Linked DNA regions of Arabidopsis thaliana. The protein of the gene in region 2 interacts with the protein of the main gene of each other region in a biochemical or structural test. Each region holds a gene or a part of one and is shown on either strand. Other genes may lie near its edges.

Region 1 (6,399 bases), on a different chromosome or scaffold from region 2:
AAATTGCAGAACTAAATGCCAATCTTTCTACACAAAACATAAACAGACAAAATCATCAAAACCAATATGCATTGATCGATTCAAGCAAAGACTAAGTATTTAGTATAAGAAACGTTACCTACACGTCTGCATAAGACTAAAGGAAGGAAGAGGAAGACAAAGATGAACAACAAACCAAAGAATCTCGTATTCCACCAATGAGAACCAAACCATTCTTGAAGAAGACCTAAATGTATGATTCCATCTTTCTCATTACCCGAAATAACATCACCTAAGAGAAACAAACAATCACTGAATCAATTCAAAGGTTTGTGAAAAAGTTCAGATTTTTATTTTTGAGACAAAATCAAATTTTACCAATGATAATCGAGAAAATAATCATAGACCCAAAAGTCACAACCATTGTAACAACCGTAACAGCAACGGCACCAGATTTTCCGAACGATTCCTTCATCACGCCGGCGTAAGTTGTTGATTCTCCGGCGAGACTGGATTTCATTAAAAACCCAGCTGATACATTGGAGAGCCAAGCTATGATTACGATTATCGATAGAGATGGGATTACACCTAGGACTTTGAAAGCCGCCGGAATCGCCATAATTCCAGCTCCGACGATGCTTGTCGAGATGTTAAACACAGCTCCGGCGAATGATCCATGGTTCTCCGATGATGATGATGAAGGCTCTTGGTTTGGTAAGAGCGGTGCTTTGATCGCAGGAGACATTTTCTTTCAACTACCGGAGAAAGAAACTAACAGAATTTTCCCCGGTGAAGAGGAAATGGTAATGAAAACTGAAAATTGATGATTGATTTGTGAGAGAAGAATAGATAATTAACGACGTCAATATTACGTGGCATCGTAATCATATACTGCAGTTAGGGGTGTCAAAATGGGTAACCCAACTCAACTCAACTCATAATCAAATGAGTTTAGAATTAAATGAGTTATGGGTTGACCCAACTCATTTTGCTAAATGGGTTGAGTCAACCCATAACTCATTTAATTTGATGGGTTGAGTCGTTAAATGGGTTAACCCATTTAAGTAATAATTTAATTAATTATTATTATAAAAAAATAATAAATAATTATCATTATTAATTCATTATCATCAAACTTAAGATATTTACGGATTCCACTTTTTACAGGTTTACGTTTTTGGTACCGAAAATCACGGATTTACGTTTTTGGCGGGAAAATTATAGGTTTTTACGTTTTTGGCCGGAAAATGATGGGTTTACGTTTTGGGCGAAAAAATAACGGATTTACGTTTTTGGCGGGAAAATCTCGGGTTTACGTTTTTGGCGGGAAAATCACGGGTTTACGTTTTTGGCGGGAAAATCTCGGGTTTACGTTTTTGGCGGGAAAATCACGGGTTTACGTTTTTGGCGGGAAAATCACGGGTTTGCGTTTTTGGCGGAAAAATTACGGGTTTACGTTTTTGGCGGGAAAATCACGGGGTTACATTTTTGGCGGGAAAATTACGGGTTTACGTTTTTGGCGGGAAAATTATGGATTTACGTTTTTGGCGGGAAAATCACGGGTTTACGTTTTTGGCGGAAAAATCACGGGTTTATGTTTTTTGGTGGAAAAATTACGAGTTTATTTTTTCTCAATTGCATCGCTTGTATATTTAAGAAATTTGGAAAAATATTAATTTTATTAAATTGGTTTAGATGTGTTGGTTAAACTTAAATTGGCATTGGTTTAGAGATTTTAGTTGGTTTAATTCAATTTTACAAAATTTGATGGGTTAATTGGGTAAACCATTGAAACCATTAACCATTACAACCCAACTCATTTTACTCATCAAACCAATTGACTCATCAACCCATTTGACCCATCAACTCATTTGAGTCAAAATTTTCAACTCATTAGGGTTCATGAGTTGAGTTGAGTTGAGTTGACCCATGAATTTTGACCCATTTTGACACCCCTAACTGCAGTACTATATATATGTCCACTGTCGCATAATTACAAATAAGTTTACTCAAAAAATTTATATATATATATATATATATTTTTAACAGAAATTTCTTAAAAACAATATCTTTGTCTAAAAAAGGGGGGGGGGGAAGATCTTAATTAACTTAGTAATTCTACTAAACTTAAAAAGATTGTTTTAAAACATAAAATTTGTGATATTTGATTTATAAAGTATTTTTTCGTAATTATTTTTATATTTTTTATTTAAGTCAGACAGTATCACGAACTAGTAGGTTGATGTGATCGAAAGAATCAGAATAGTCTATAATGTTTTTTATTTGATTAAGCTAATATTTTATATTTTAAATATAGTAATCATAGACTTTTTTCATAAAAAAGTAGTCATAAAAAAAAAACTCATATAGATAACACGACAGCAGTCAATAATAATCATGTGTTCCATTATACAACAAACCGGAAAAATAAAATTAAATCGCTCCCAAACAAAATAAAGGTTTTGTTTCACAACAGATTTAGGTGGGATTTTGGTTTCAGAGTATGTCTCTGATATTGGCTTGAGTTTTAGAGGTTACCGTAAAGGTTTGTCTGAATATCATTGTACCAATCGTCTCTGACTGTCTTCTCACTGGTGACTTCTTAGAGAAAGATTTGGTTAATAGCACTACACCACATTACTGATTTTGATCAATTTGCTAACTCTATAATATCTCGATATGTCTCATCAAAGATAGGGTGAGTGCACAAACCATTTACACACAGAATAGGGCTGAGGATTTAAACAAAAACCCTCAACAATCACAAATCTCAATTGTCTTAAACGCTGATTACTTGGTTTGTGATTTTGCCCAAACAAAGTCGGTTGACTATTCCCGCCTATTATTCTTTCTCCAGTCCCATGGCTTCTCTGGATTTGAAGAAGCCCACAAGCCAATACGCTTCTGCCTTGCCTCCTTTTCCCACTGAATGATTTCACATAAAATGAACAGTAAATACACAAAAGATACTATGTCAACAAACTAAAGAGACTTCGTACTTGTAGTATATACAAAACAAACTCTACTAGTCTTGCCTTTGCGAGAACCGGGCGCTTGTCATAAGCTAAGTAATGCCAAGCAAGCCCTTTCTTTAACATTGCCTCCTAGATAAGAAACCAATAACCGATTAAACAAAGTTTTTATTACAACGGAAGGGCAAGTACTTCTATTACCTGGACAAAGATCCCATTGCAGTATAAATCACCTACGCATCGCCCATATTGATCTTCTCCATAAACTAACACCTTCAAGCTTTTCCGCCCAACAATCTTTAAGAGCCCTTCTTGTGCCTCTTTCCCAAACGGCATTTGGCTCTCTGGTGCATCTATTCCCCTATTTCCTTTCCCATCACCAAACAGCTTCACTAAACAAAATAATCCATGGTAGAACTAGTTGAGCTTTTCTTAAAGGAAAAGAGTGATCTTTACCTTAGTCTAATTCTGAACTTCCGAGCAAGAACTTCCTCATTCTCAATATTTAGTACCCTGTAACCAGAATCAATGATCTTTTGGTGAAGTTCGTCAGCTTTTGGATAATTTCTCTTCTCACGTGCTTTTGCTCTTTGAACAGCTGCAAGATTGACTTCCCTTGGAACAGAAGATGACACAACCGGCTCTGAAGTACTGACATACACTGTGATGGTGTCTCCATCTGCCACAGCTTTTGGATCCACCTTGTTTTCCATTACACAAGCTTAGTCAGCAACATTATCAAATCCCAAAAACCGAGTTGTTGTTCTTTTTGATTTGTACTGAAGTCATTCTAACCGGAAGTGTTTGAAATTCGAAAAGAATCCCTTCAGGCAAAGACACAGGAGCTTCAACAGTGACTTCAACTAGAGTATGAGACAAAGGGAGTCCATAGAAAGACAAAAGCCCCTGTTTCATAAACAACACAATCACATAAATCTCTTCCAATTCTCATAAATGTTTTAAAACATCTGTTCTTGCTAATCATACCTCAACATCAGCTTTCTGATTCCTTTTTAAGATATCAGTGACAAGCCTAGAAGCTTCCTCAGCTGTCTGCGGTGGAGGTTTTGCTTGCTTCCATGCCTCAAGTATTTTTCTATACCTTTCACAATGTTAAAATACATGACAAACAGATTGATTACACAACAAAGTTCACATCTTTATCCTACACGAAACATGTAAAGCAATCTTGTGTTATTTTACCAGTTTGCTTGAGCTTTTCTAGATGACTGAACATACCTCCCAAGCCCTTCAGGAACCTACAGGTAAACTCATCATCAAAATCAACTTTTGAACCAAATCAAGTAAAGAGACCTTCCAACAGCTGAATTAGCTTAAAGATCACTGGAGCACAAATGAAAGCAGCAGAATAAGTAGATCAAAGGACGGTTAGAAGTTTCAGTGAGAAAATTAAGACCTGGGAAGTGATCTCGAAGTTGAAGAGATCGTGAGCGAGAGCTGAAACACCGACGGTGGCGGCGGAGACGCCGTGAGGACCAAGAGAGTCATCGGTTGTTGTGGGTTTGCAGCATTTTCCGTAGAGAAACGTAAGAGCGTTACCCATCTTTCACCCAATTTCAGGGAATCCAAAAAGTTTTGATCTTTCTAATACCTTACCAGAGCCCAGAGGAGAATCCTAAAGAGGAAGGACAAAGGAGTCAACTCTCAAACACTTACTCTTATCTGTAATTAACTTTTCAATAAATAAATAAAAATGATTTAATTTAAAAGGAGAAGAAAAAATAAGTTGGGAGAATAATTAAGAATAAGGCAACAATTTTTTTTTTACAATTCTCTTTGTTAAATAAATCACAATTGTAGGTGGTCCATACAAACACCGAAGTCCAAAAGTAAGGAAACTATCCATTGTTGGAGCACAAATAACCAATTAGGATAACATAAGAAGTTCCTCCTTGGGTGTTTGTATGGCCGCGCAATACTCAGTTACTCAACAGTTTTTTGGTTCTCGCTGTGGCTTTGACAAGCTTGTGTTTTATATGACAAAAAGATTGTTGTGTCAGTCTGGCAGAGAAAGTGAAAAGTGATGGTAGCGAATCACACCCATGCATGGAATTTATTTGATGCCTGAGCACAGTTTGATACGATGAAGACAAAATATCGTTAGTTGTCATTAAAAACGATCTTGTTAAAACAAAAACAAAAAAACCCTTATGTATGCCATCTGAAACCATTTCCCATTATTCTCAACAATTTTCGAATTGATAAGCTACAACTATAAGCAATTCATGACTGTACAGTACATGATAAATGATGTCATATTTGGGAAGGGCAATAAGAGAAAAAAAAAACTCGTGCATCCACCACCATGTGCAAATATGGCAAACCAACATGACTAATTGAAGAAATTTTATTCACGAATCATTGTTTCCCGTAAGCTAAGATACAAAAATACAACTCAAATGAATATATCTTTCCCTCCAATACGATCAAAAGCTTTTATAAACATATACAATTGGTACCTAGTCACATAGCCGCATAAATCTCATTGATTCTTAAGATCATCCATACTTGCCTCTTCAGTTGTACTGTATTCCACTGTGGATTGGCTCGCAACCTCGGGGATTTGGTTGGAAGTTGTGACACTTTTCTGAGTTTGCAGACCCGTAGAGCGCGCAAGATCAATCCATTGCTGCGTTTTTATGAAAAAAGTTGGAATGAAGTTAAACGGTATATCAAGAATTAACCAAAAATAATAATAAGGAAAAAGGAGACAAAGAATTCAAGAAGAGATCATAGTACAGGCCTAATTCTGACCTGAGTTCCAAAGTAGGAGTTAGCTACTCGAACAACAAATGAAATCATGTTTACAAGTAGAGGTTGAGAAGAAAGCTCGTCAGAAATGCGATGCTCTATTAACCCAGCAATTATCTGCAATTGAAAGTAATATGATTTTAGAGGCATAAATTCAAAGCATACTGTTCTTCATCAAAAGGCCTTCCTTGGCTAAGATGCAAAAGCATAATATATTGCTGTGGTCATTAAGCAACTTTAACTACTTTTCATTAATATCCCTCATTCATTGAGTCAACATGTAAAGCACCGCGCATCACCATACCTGATAACGGATATTCGAAGATGTTCCCAGATAACCTCCATACACAAGGGCCGTCTTCAGCATAGGAGACCTCTTTGCTTGCTCACCAACACCCAACTCTGGTTTAATGAATTTTCGTATTGCATACAAAGCATTTGAAGATCCCACAGCTGCAAAACTGGAAACAACTCCAACACCAGCAAGCTTCAAGCCACCGATAATAACTGAAGCAATCCTAAGACTCAGAGTCCACTCTTGTCCACCTAGACTTTTTTGAAATGCATTGTCAGGTATGGACCCTAGGAGGCCTCTTAAGGCATCTATGCTGTTTGGCCCAATTGTCTCATCAGCATATGAGATAAAAGACAAGGTTGGTGCAGGGAGCCAAACTGT
Region 2 (7,439 bases):
AATTTGATTATATATATTTAATTTTAATTTTTCCATCGCACGGAGATTGTAACAAGGAAACCGCCGTCGCCGGATCTGATAGTGCATATCCATGAAGTAGAAGACGAAGAAACTTACTTTCTGATCTTAGAACGGAGTATATGTACAGAAGATTCGCGTCCCTCAATTTTTGATCTCAAGGGTCGGGTTTACCTTTTTTTCCTTCTTATTTTTGGTGGCTTTGCGTTTTCTCATTCGACGATTTCTGGATTTGGGGATTTCAAAACCATGAGGAAGAAGCTCGATACTCGGTTCCCAGCTGTAAGTTTTTCGTCTCTAATTGATCATTTCTGAAATTGAAGTCCAATTTCTCGGAAATTACTTTGATCTGTTGTTTTTCAGATCGAATTTCCAACACTATTTGGGATTAGATTAGTGTTCTACGATGAAAATTAGATTAAGTATCTCATTTCTGGCGAATTAGTTTTAGCAAATGACCTAGTAGTCAATTTCACCCTAATTTTTGTTGTGCTTGTTATATAGCTATAGTAATATGTGTTATGAAGATCCGCTATGGAATGTTTCATGTAAATTAGAGAATTCGAGAATTTAGGTGACTAGTGCTCGAAACGTGTTCTTTATCAACAAACCAGTCAGCTATTGGTTAGATAGTGTTGATTGAAGCAGGGATGTTATACACGAATTGTTTTTTCATAGGCTTGGAACTTTTTGTAGAGCTTCCAATTTGGCTAGCTAGATTTTGTTTAGCTTTATTGAATAAAACGTCAGATGATTTCATAAGTTGGTTATTGTTGATGGTGGTTTATTTTGTTTGAGCTGAGGCTAGAATATTAGTTTTTCACAGATTTTGACTTTCCATTTAATTTGTTAATATATTTTTGTTTGTATAATCTGATTGGTGATTGTACAGAGCGTGCTTGGTGTTTCTCAGTTCTACCATTTGCTTTATAATTCGTTTAGTAGTCTGTAATTATTGCCACACACACTGTGTGATGGTTGCTGTTTCTTCATTTGATGCATATATTACAATTTTTCAGGCTCGTATTAAAAAGATTATGCAAGCTGATGAGGATGTTGGCAAGATAGCTTTGGCAGTGCCTGTCTTAGTCTGTAAGTCATCTTGCTATCATTGACTTCAGTTTGAAAAGAGAATTATTGGAAACTTTACCCTTTGGCTAAATTTCATGTTCTCTTATTACAGCAAAATCTTTGGAGTTGTTCTTGCAAGACCTTTGTGATCGTACATATGAAATTACCCTTGAAAGAGGTGCCAAGACTGTGAGCTCATTGCACCTGTAAGTAACAGATTGGTTTACCTTTATTTTTGCTTTAACTCTGCATGCTAGCATCGTCATTATCTAAAGAGCATGAAAGGTTTCACTTGAATGCATTTTAAATTCTAGAGCTTTCAGATGTTGTAATTATTGATATTGTGGTTTAAGAGTTAACATGATGTTGTTAAGCGGAATAGCTTCCAACTCATAGGGCCTATTTTCACTGCATCCAACACCGAGAGGATGTTGTTTACTGTTACAGAATTTTATACCACAAATTTGGGATAAAGTTCTTATTTTTGCTCATCCATGTTTATCAAAGTGCTTTGTTGTTTACAGAAAACATTGTGTGGAAAGATATAACGTGTTTGATTTTCTGAGGGAAGTTGTGAGTAAGGTGCCTGACTATGGCCATTCCCAAGGGCAAGGACATGGTGATGTTACCATGGATGATCGCAGCATCTCCAAGAGAAGGTTGGATGTTTGATCTCTTAGTTCCATATGTTCTAGTTCTTTGTTTATAGTCCGTGTCAAGCTGATGTGAGATGGTTTATCAAAACAGGAAGCCCATCAGCGATGAAGTGAATGACAGTGACGAGGAATATAAGAAAAGCAAAACGGTGAGCTCGTGTTCTTCTTGAAATATTATACTTCATCATTCATTTGGTGTCTATTCCCAGCTCCTTAGATTCATTGAATATATTGGTAATCACTGCAGCAAGAGATAGGGAGTGCTAAGACCAGTGGCAGGGGTGGTAGAGGAAGAGGGCGAGGAAGAGGTCGTGGTGGACGAGCTGCAAAAGCAGCCGAAAGAGAGGGTCTCAACCGCGAGATGGAAGTAGAAGCCGCCAATTCTGGACAGCCACCACCAGAAGACAATGTCAAGATGCATGCGTCAGAGTCATCACCACAAGAGGATGAGAAGAAAGGCATCGACGGCACAGCAGCATCGAACGAAGACACCAAGCAACACCTTCAAAGTCCCAAAGAAGGCATTGACTTTGATCTCAACGCTGAATCCCTCGACCTAAACGAGACCAAACTGGCACCAGCCACAGGCACAACCACAACCACAACTGCAGCAACAGACTCTGAGGAGTATTCGGGCTGGCCTATGATGGACATAAGCAAAATGGATCCAGCACAGCTTGCTAGTCTGGGTAAGAGGATAGACGAGGATGAGGAAGATTATGACGAAGAAGGCTAAGTCATAACAGCACTATAGGATATATAGAGTAGCAGCGTTTAGCAGTTTGTCTAGAAAATGCTTCTTCTGTCATCAAAATCTTCTCCTGTTTCCATTTATTGTATGAACCAAAGATTGCATGCACTCTATGAAACTTAATTTATTCTCCTGATTTGTTATTTAAGGTTTTAGAGTTTTACATCAGAAGTTAAAATATCTTACAGAGTAAGTAAACACTCAAAAGTACATAAACAAAGGAGAGGGACTAGTCATGGTGTTGCTCCGCGTGGTTGAGATGAAGAGCACCTTCATGGTTCTTGTGAACTTCCACCTTGAACTTTTCCTCTTTTTCTCCCCTCTTCAACTTCAGTAGCATGTTGTATTTTGCAGCCTCGCCGGTTACCTGTGTCCATGTTTTTAATATTAAGCTCATTAATCTTGTAATCACCAACTATTACAACTCAGACGTTAGTCCTCATACCAAGGAGAACCAATATGTTGCTTAAAGTCTTTTCTACTTCTAAAACTTCAACACCATTCGGTTTCACTGACACTTGATTTCGTTTATTTGCAATTTCTCAGATGAAATTCATGCAAAAACATTGTCAAAATCTGACAAGTTCTCTATTGAAATTCATTTTGTGCAATTAAGATCGAAGATAGAGTATATAGTAAATTAAAGCCATACCTCAGCTTTAGCATGCACAACCTCCAGAAGTTCATAAGGGAACAAGGAGTTAGACCTCTGCTGAATGGTCTTGACAGCCTGCTCAGCAACATGCTTCACTTCTGGATCATCTCCGGGAACTTCCCTCCATCCAGATTCATGTTCACCTGATCCACAAAACCCAATTTTCATAACCAAACTCTTTCCTAACCCACAATCTCTGACTTGCTACATATATATCCCCTGACATTATAATGTTCTTATCAGTAACTACTCAAATTCACACCTTGCTTGCAGCCAAGATCGGAGGAAGTGATAGCAGGGGCATCACTGGCAGGCTTGAACTCCTGTAACTCTTTAAAGTTCAACCACGGCTTGACCCACACTTTGGCTTCGTAAAGCTTCTTCTGTCCTGCCTCGAGAATCTCCAGAGTCAGGTGATGCAGTGTTCCGGCTACAACTTGTTCTTTCGCCTTCACAACTCTCGCAAACTCAAGAAGTGCATTCTACGACGACCAAAGACAGAACAAACCAAAAAATCAATCAATCAATCAATCCCACAACATGAACGCATTTCATCACCGAATAATATACACTCTCTAAGATCTGCTGGTAACTGAAATTGAGATCAATAGAGAAACTCCGGACAAAATTAGTCTAATCGTGTTCTGGATCAAGACTATAATAGCATAAAACACACATATCGAGACGAGAGATGTGAAAAAATCGAAGATGATGAGAGATTTGGAACCTCTTTCTTGTTGTGTTCATCGACAGCGAAACGAGCGAGGCTCTCAACCTCACCACTGTTCTGATTAGCAGGGACATCGCCAACACCTCCGACTAAAGCCATCTCTTCGTTGCAGAAGCCTAAATCACTGGCGATCAGAGAGGAAATGAAGAGGGATAGAGAGAAGAAAACAATGAAGAGTAAGAAACGGCTTCTCATCATTCTCACCTTTATTTGGTTCGGTGCCCTGTATTTTTAGATATTTTTCGTTTTACTCGTCGAATTGTTGATTTTATCCTCTACAGTTAATTCGCCGTGTACCGGATTAAGGTGTCCATTTGGTTTGATGTTGGTTTTGTTGGTACAGTTTTAAGTTTAGGCTCTGATTTATGAAAATATTCTTACGATTTAAAACAAAAAAGGTTTACATTTGATTGGATGCCAATTGAATCGAATCATTTGTAAGAAAAGAGTACCGATTCGAGTTATAGATTGGTTTGATTTGGCCTCAATCGGTTAAGCTACCAACATTTTAAATAGAAATTCATACCAATCTGGATTACACATGAAAACGTTGCTGAGGATAGCGGCACGTTATACGAAACGTGTCGGCAGAGTCACACAGAAATTGTCAAACACCTTTACTTGTAATCGAAGTTTAAAACATCTATGCACCTTTCTTCGTCTTTCTCTCATCTGCTAGAGAGCCCAATTAAAAAAGGCCCATGGGAAATAAAATCGCAACATAAACAGTGAAACATCATTGGAAAGAGTTTTATTAGTCTGATATTATTGTTTTGATAATACAAAGCTGCGTATTATATTATAATAATAATACTCTCGTTACTAAATAGCAGCTTCGAGGAGGCCGTTAACGAAGGATCTTTGGTTGTAACAATCAAGATTACCACCAGGATTAACACCAAATATGTTACAATACCTCTGATAAAACCCTATACGATCGGCGACTCTCCCGTCTTGGCCACGTCCACACTCCAATCCACCGTTAATGATGTTCGTAATCACTCCATAACCCGGTAATCTCCCGGCGGCACGGTCGGCGTCTGAAGGCTGCCACTGGCCGGCTATCACGGCATGGCAAGACGGTTTGGGAGGCTGAGCAGTCATCCAGAACCAAATCGCGGCTTTGAAAGCGATCACTGCGTCGTTGGCAACAAGGTCAGGGTTGTTGAGTAAGTCAACTCCTATTGCTCTACCGCATAGACCGTAATTGTAGTTCCACGACAGTTGCATTGGTCCTCTTCCGTAGTAGCGTTTGCCAGATGCGCATGGCCACGTGGCGCTCGGTTCACAGTAGTCTGAAGCAGGATTCTGTTCTTGCTTGAAACAGTAGCCCCATGAATATGGTCCGTCTGGTGCTGTAGCCCATCCACCTGCACGACGTAACCGTCCACTTAATTAATTAGTATATAGCTATATATATAGTCACAACTCACAAACTTGACATTATTCAAAAGTGTATAATTTGGAAACTGGAATATTCGTAAGTTCCTTGATTGGTTATTTGCGTTTAGATTAATCAAGAATTTCATATTTTTAAAATAGTTTTTTAATTGTAAACGCAAACATCTAAGACCAAAACATTTTTCTTTGCGTTTGGCGTTTTTGTTTGATTTTTTTCTTTCGTTTCTAAATATGAGAAGCTATAATTTTTTCAATAAAACATATATATATATATATATATATATATATAGTATAGTAGTTCTTTGTATATATGAGCACTTGGATCCAAAACTCTTTACAGAAGAAAAAAAGAACTTCAAATTCTGATGTTTTAATAATAAACACCAAAATTTAGCAATTGTGTTTTGAAACAATCTCCGTCAAATTGTTAATGAGTTTTGGGTACCTGTAGTTTCATGGGAAGTCTGGCCGAAGAAGGCGGCGACCTCCTTCTTCCTCGTGGCGGTGTCTCCGGTGGTGCCAAAACCGGGGAAGGACTTTGCAGCGGTGATAAAGGCGTTGTAAGTGTAGAAACCTCTAGCAGGACAAGCGGCATCATTCCTATGCTTAAGCATATCATCGAACTGAGAACTTGAAATGATGCCCGAAAGATCGCCGGTGGGTCCAGGAGGAGTACCACCGGGAGTGCACTGGCTTTGGCAGCCAGGCTGCTTACAGTATGGTTCGGTGTTACCGCACCAGCCGAACTCGCTGCAGCATAGACCGTTGGGGCAGAGTGCTCCTCCAGCTTGGCGACCACATTGCTCGGCCGAGGATAATGATAGGAGAAGTGAAAAGATGAGAAAGAGAAAAAGATTAGTCTTCATTTTGTTCAATGTTCTATGGTTTTCTTTTTGTGGAGGCATGAAAGATATATATAGATCCAATTAATGAATGTTTTATCACATCAAATTCTATCTTTTTCCATAGTTTATTGTTTGTTATGTCTATGGAGTGTGGCTATGGGGAACAAACAGTATTTGGTAGGTTTGTTTTTGATTATATTTATTTTCCTTCCGTCATTGTTGCTAGGTTAGATATTGATTTGTTTTTTTGGGGGATTATCATGTTAATTCCAAGTAATGAGAACTTTCTATGTATGAAACTGTGCTAAATGTTGGTAGAAGAATACAAATTTTAGAAGACCAAAAGCATAACAAATTACACTCTTTTTGAGTTTTTTGTTCTAAAGTTACTATCGACGTAGATAGTGGGACACAAAGGTCGTAAAATTTTGGGTGGTCTGAAAACACGTTTACTCGAGTTGCGGACTAATCGATGATCTGAGCTAGTGTGCACTAATTAATCAAACACACACATATTCGGATATTCCCTATGATGTATACACAATACTTGACTATATCTAAGACAAGATCACAAGAGTTGCATGAATAGTCAAGAAAATGTATAACGTGGAGAAAATAAAAATAGACGTGTCTAAATATTTAACTATGATCAATGTTGACAAAAACAAAATTTAACTTTAATTATGAATATGAGGCGGCGGGTTCGTGATCAACTTTTTCAAAAAGCAATTGAGACATTTAGAATTCATTATAAGGTAACGTATAGCATTAGCCAGGTAATGATATAATGACTCAAGACCAAATCATACCAATATTTAATATATTCATTATTCCAACTACTCATGATGACTTTCCCTATTTCATAATGTTTTATCCAAAGTACGTGTCATGTTTACAAACTATATAAAATCCAAAACCTCGACGAAACCTGCGTGCTATTCTTATGTACTAACTATGAAAAGTAACGTTAATCATCGTTGACTGAATCTCTAATCTCCAATCTCACTGTGGGCTGCGTTGCCGTCTCTTTCGGGTAGAAATAATCGACCATGGAAAAAAATAATATTGTAATGTGAATATATTGGCAAATCCTACAAAATACATTTTAAATGTAATCTTAATTTTTGTAATTAATTACATGACAATACCATTAGAAAATTTTAATCAAAAATAGAATCTTTTAATGACATCATTAAGATTACCAAAATCATTTAACGACAATATTCATCTCTTAATTATAGGGCTTATTGGATTTAAAGACGGGTCATCAAAGATTTCCTAAACTGAAGCAAAATATACCGAATATTCAAAT

Evidence for each region.
Region 1: the proteins of CYSB (region 2) and AtCaN2 form a complex in vitro, tested with the Arabidopsis thaliana proteins (one study listed by BioGRID).

Annotation. Positions count from the first base shown.
Region 1 is NC_003071.7:16,871,625-16,878,023, reverse strand, and holds AtCaN2 (Ca(2+)-dependent nuclease family protein), read right to left. Parts: upstream 4,680-6,399; 5' UTR 4,516-4,679; coding exon 4,369-4,515; intron 4,211-4,368; coding exon 4,155-4,210; intron 4,054-4,154; coding exon 3,939-4,053; intron 3,858-3,938; coding exon 3,747-3,857; intron 3,653-3,746; coding exon 3,408-3,652; coding exon of another isoform or gene 3,404-3,407; exon of another isoform or gene 3,313-3,403; coding exon 3,153-3,312; intron 3,084-3,152; coding exon 3,015-3,083; intron 2,905-3,014; coding exon 2,809-2,904; 3' UTR 2,341-2,808; downstream 1-2,340. Other genes in the region: AT2G40420 (Transmembrane amino acid transporter family protein), read right to left, coding at 1-27, 119-271, 358-724; AT2G40400 (DUF399 family protein, putative (DUF399 and DUF3411)), read right to left, coding at 5,455-5,601, 5,727-5,840, 6,028-6,399.
Region 2 is NC_003074.8:3,957,798-3,965,236, forward strand, and holds CYSB (cystatin B), read right to left. Parts: upstream 4,124-7,439; 5' UTR 4,080-4,123; coding exon 3,879-4,079; intron 3,634-3,878; coding exon 3,414-3,633; intron 3,295-3,413; coding exon 3,149-3,294; intron 3,129-3,148; exon of another isoform or gene 3,014-3,128; coding exon of another isoform or gene 3,005-3,013; exon of another isoform or gene 2,864-3,004; coding exon 2,726-2,863; 3' UTR 2,604-2,725; downstream 1-2,603. Other genes in the region: NF-YC11 (nuclear factor Y, subunit C11), read left to right, coding at 268-300, 1,038-1,110, 1,202-1,295, 1,614-1,748, 1,837-1,894, 1,993-2,481; HCHIB (basic chitinase), read right to left, coding at 4,704-5,251, 5,728-6,187.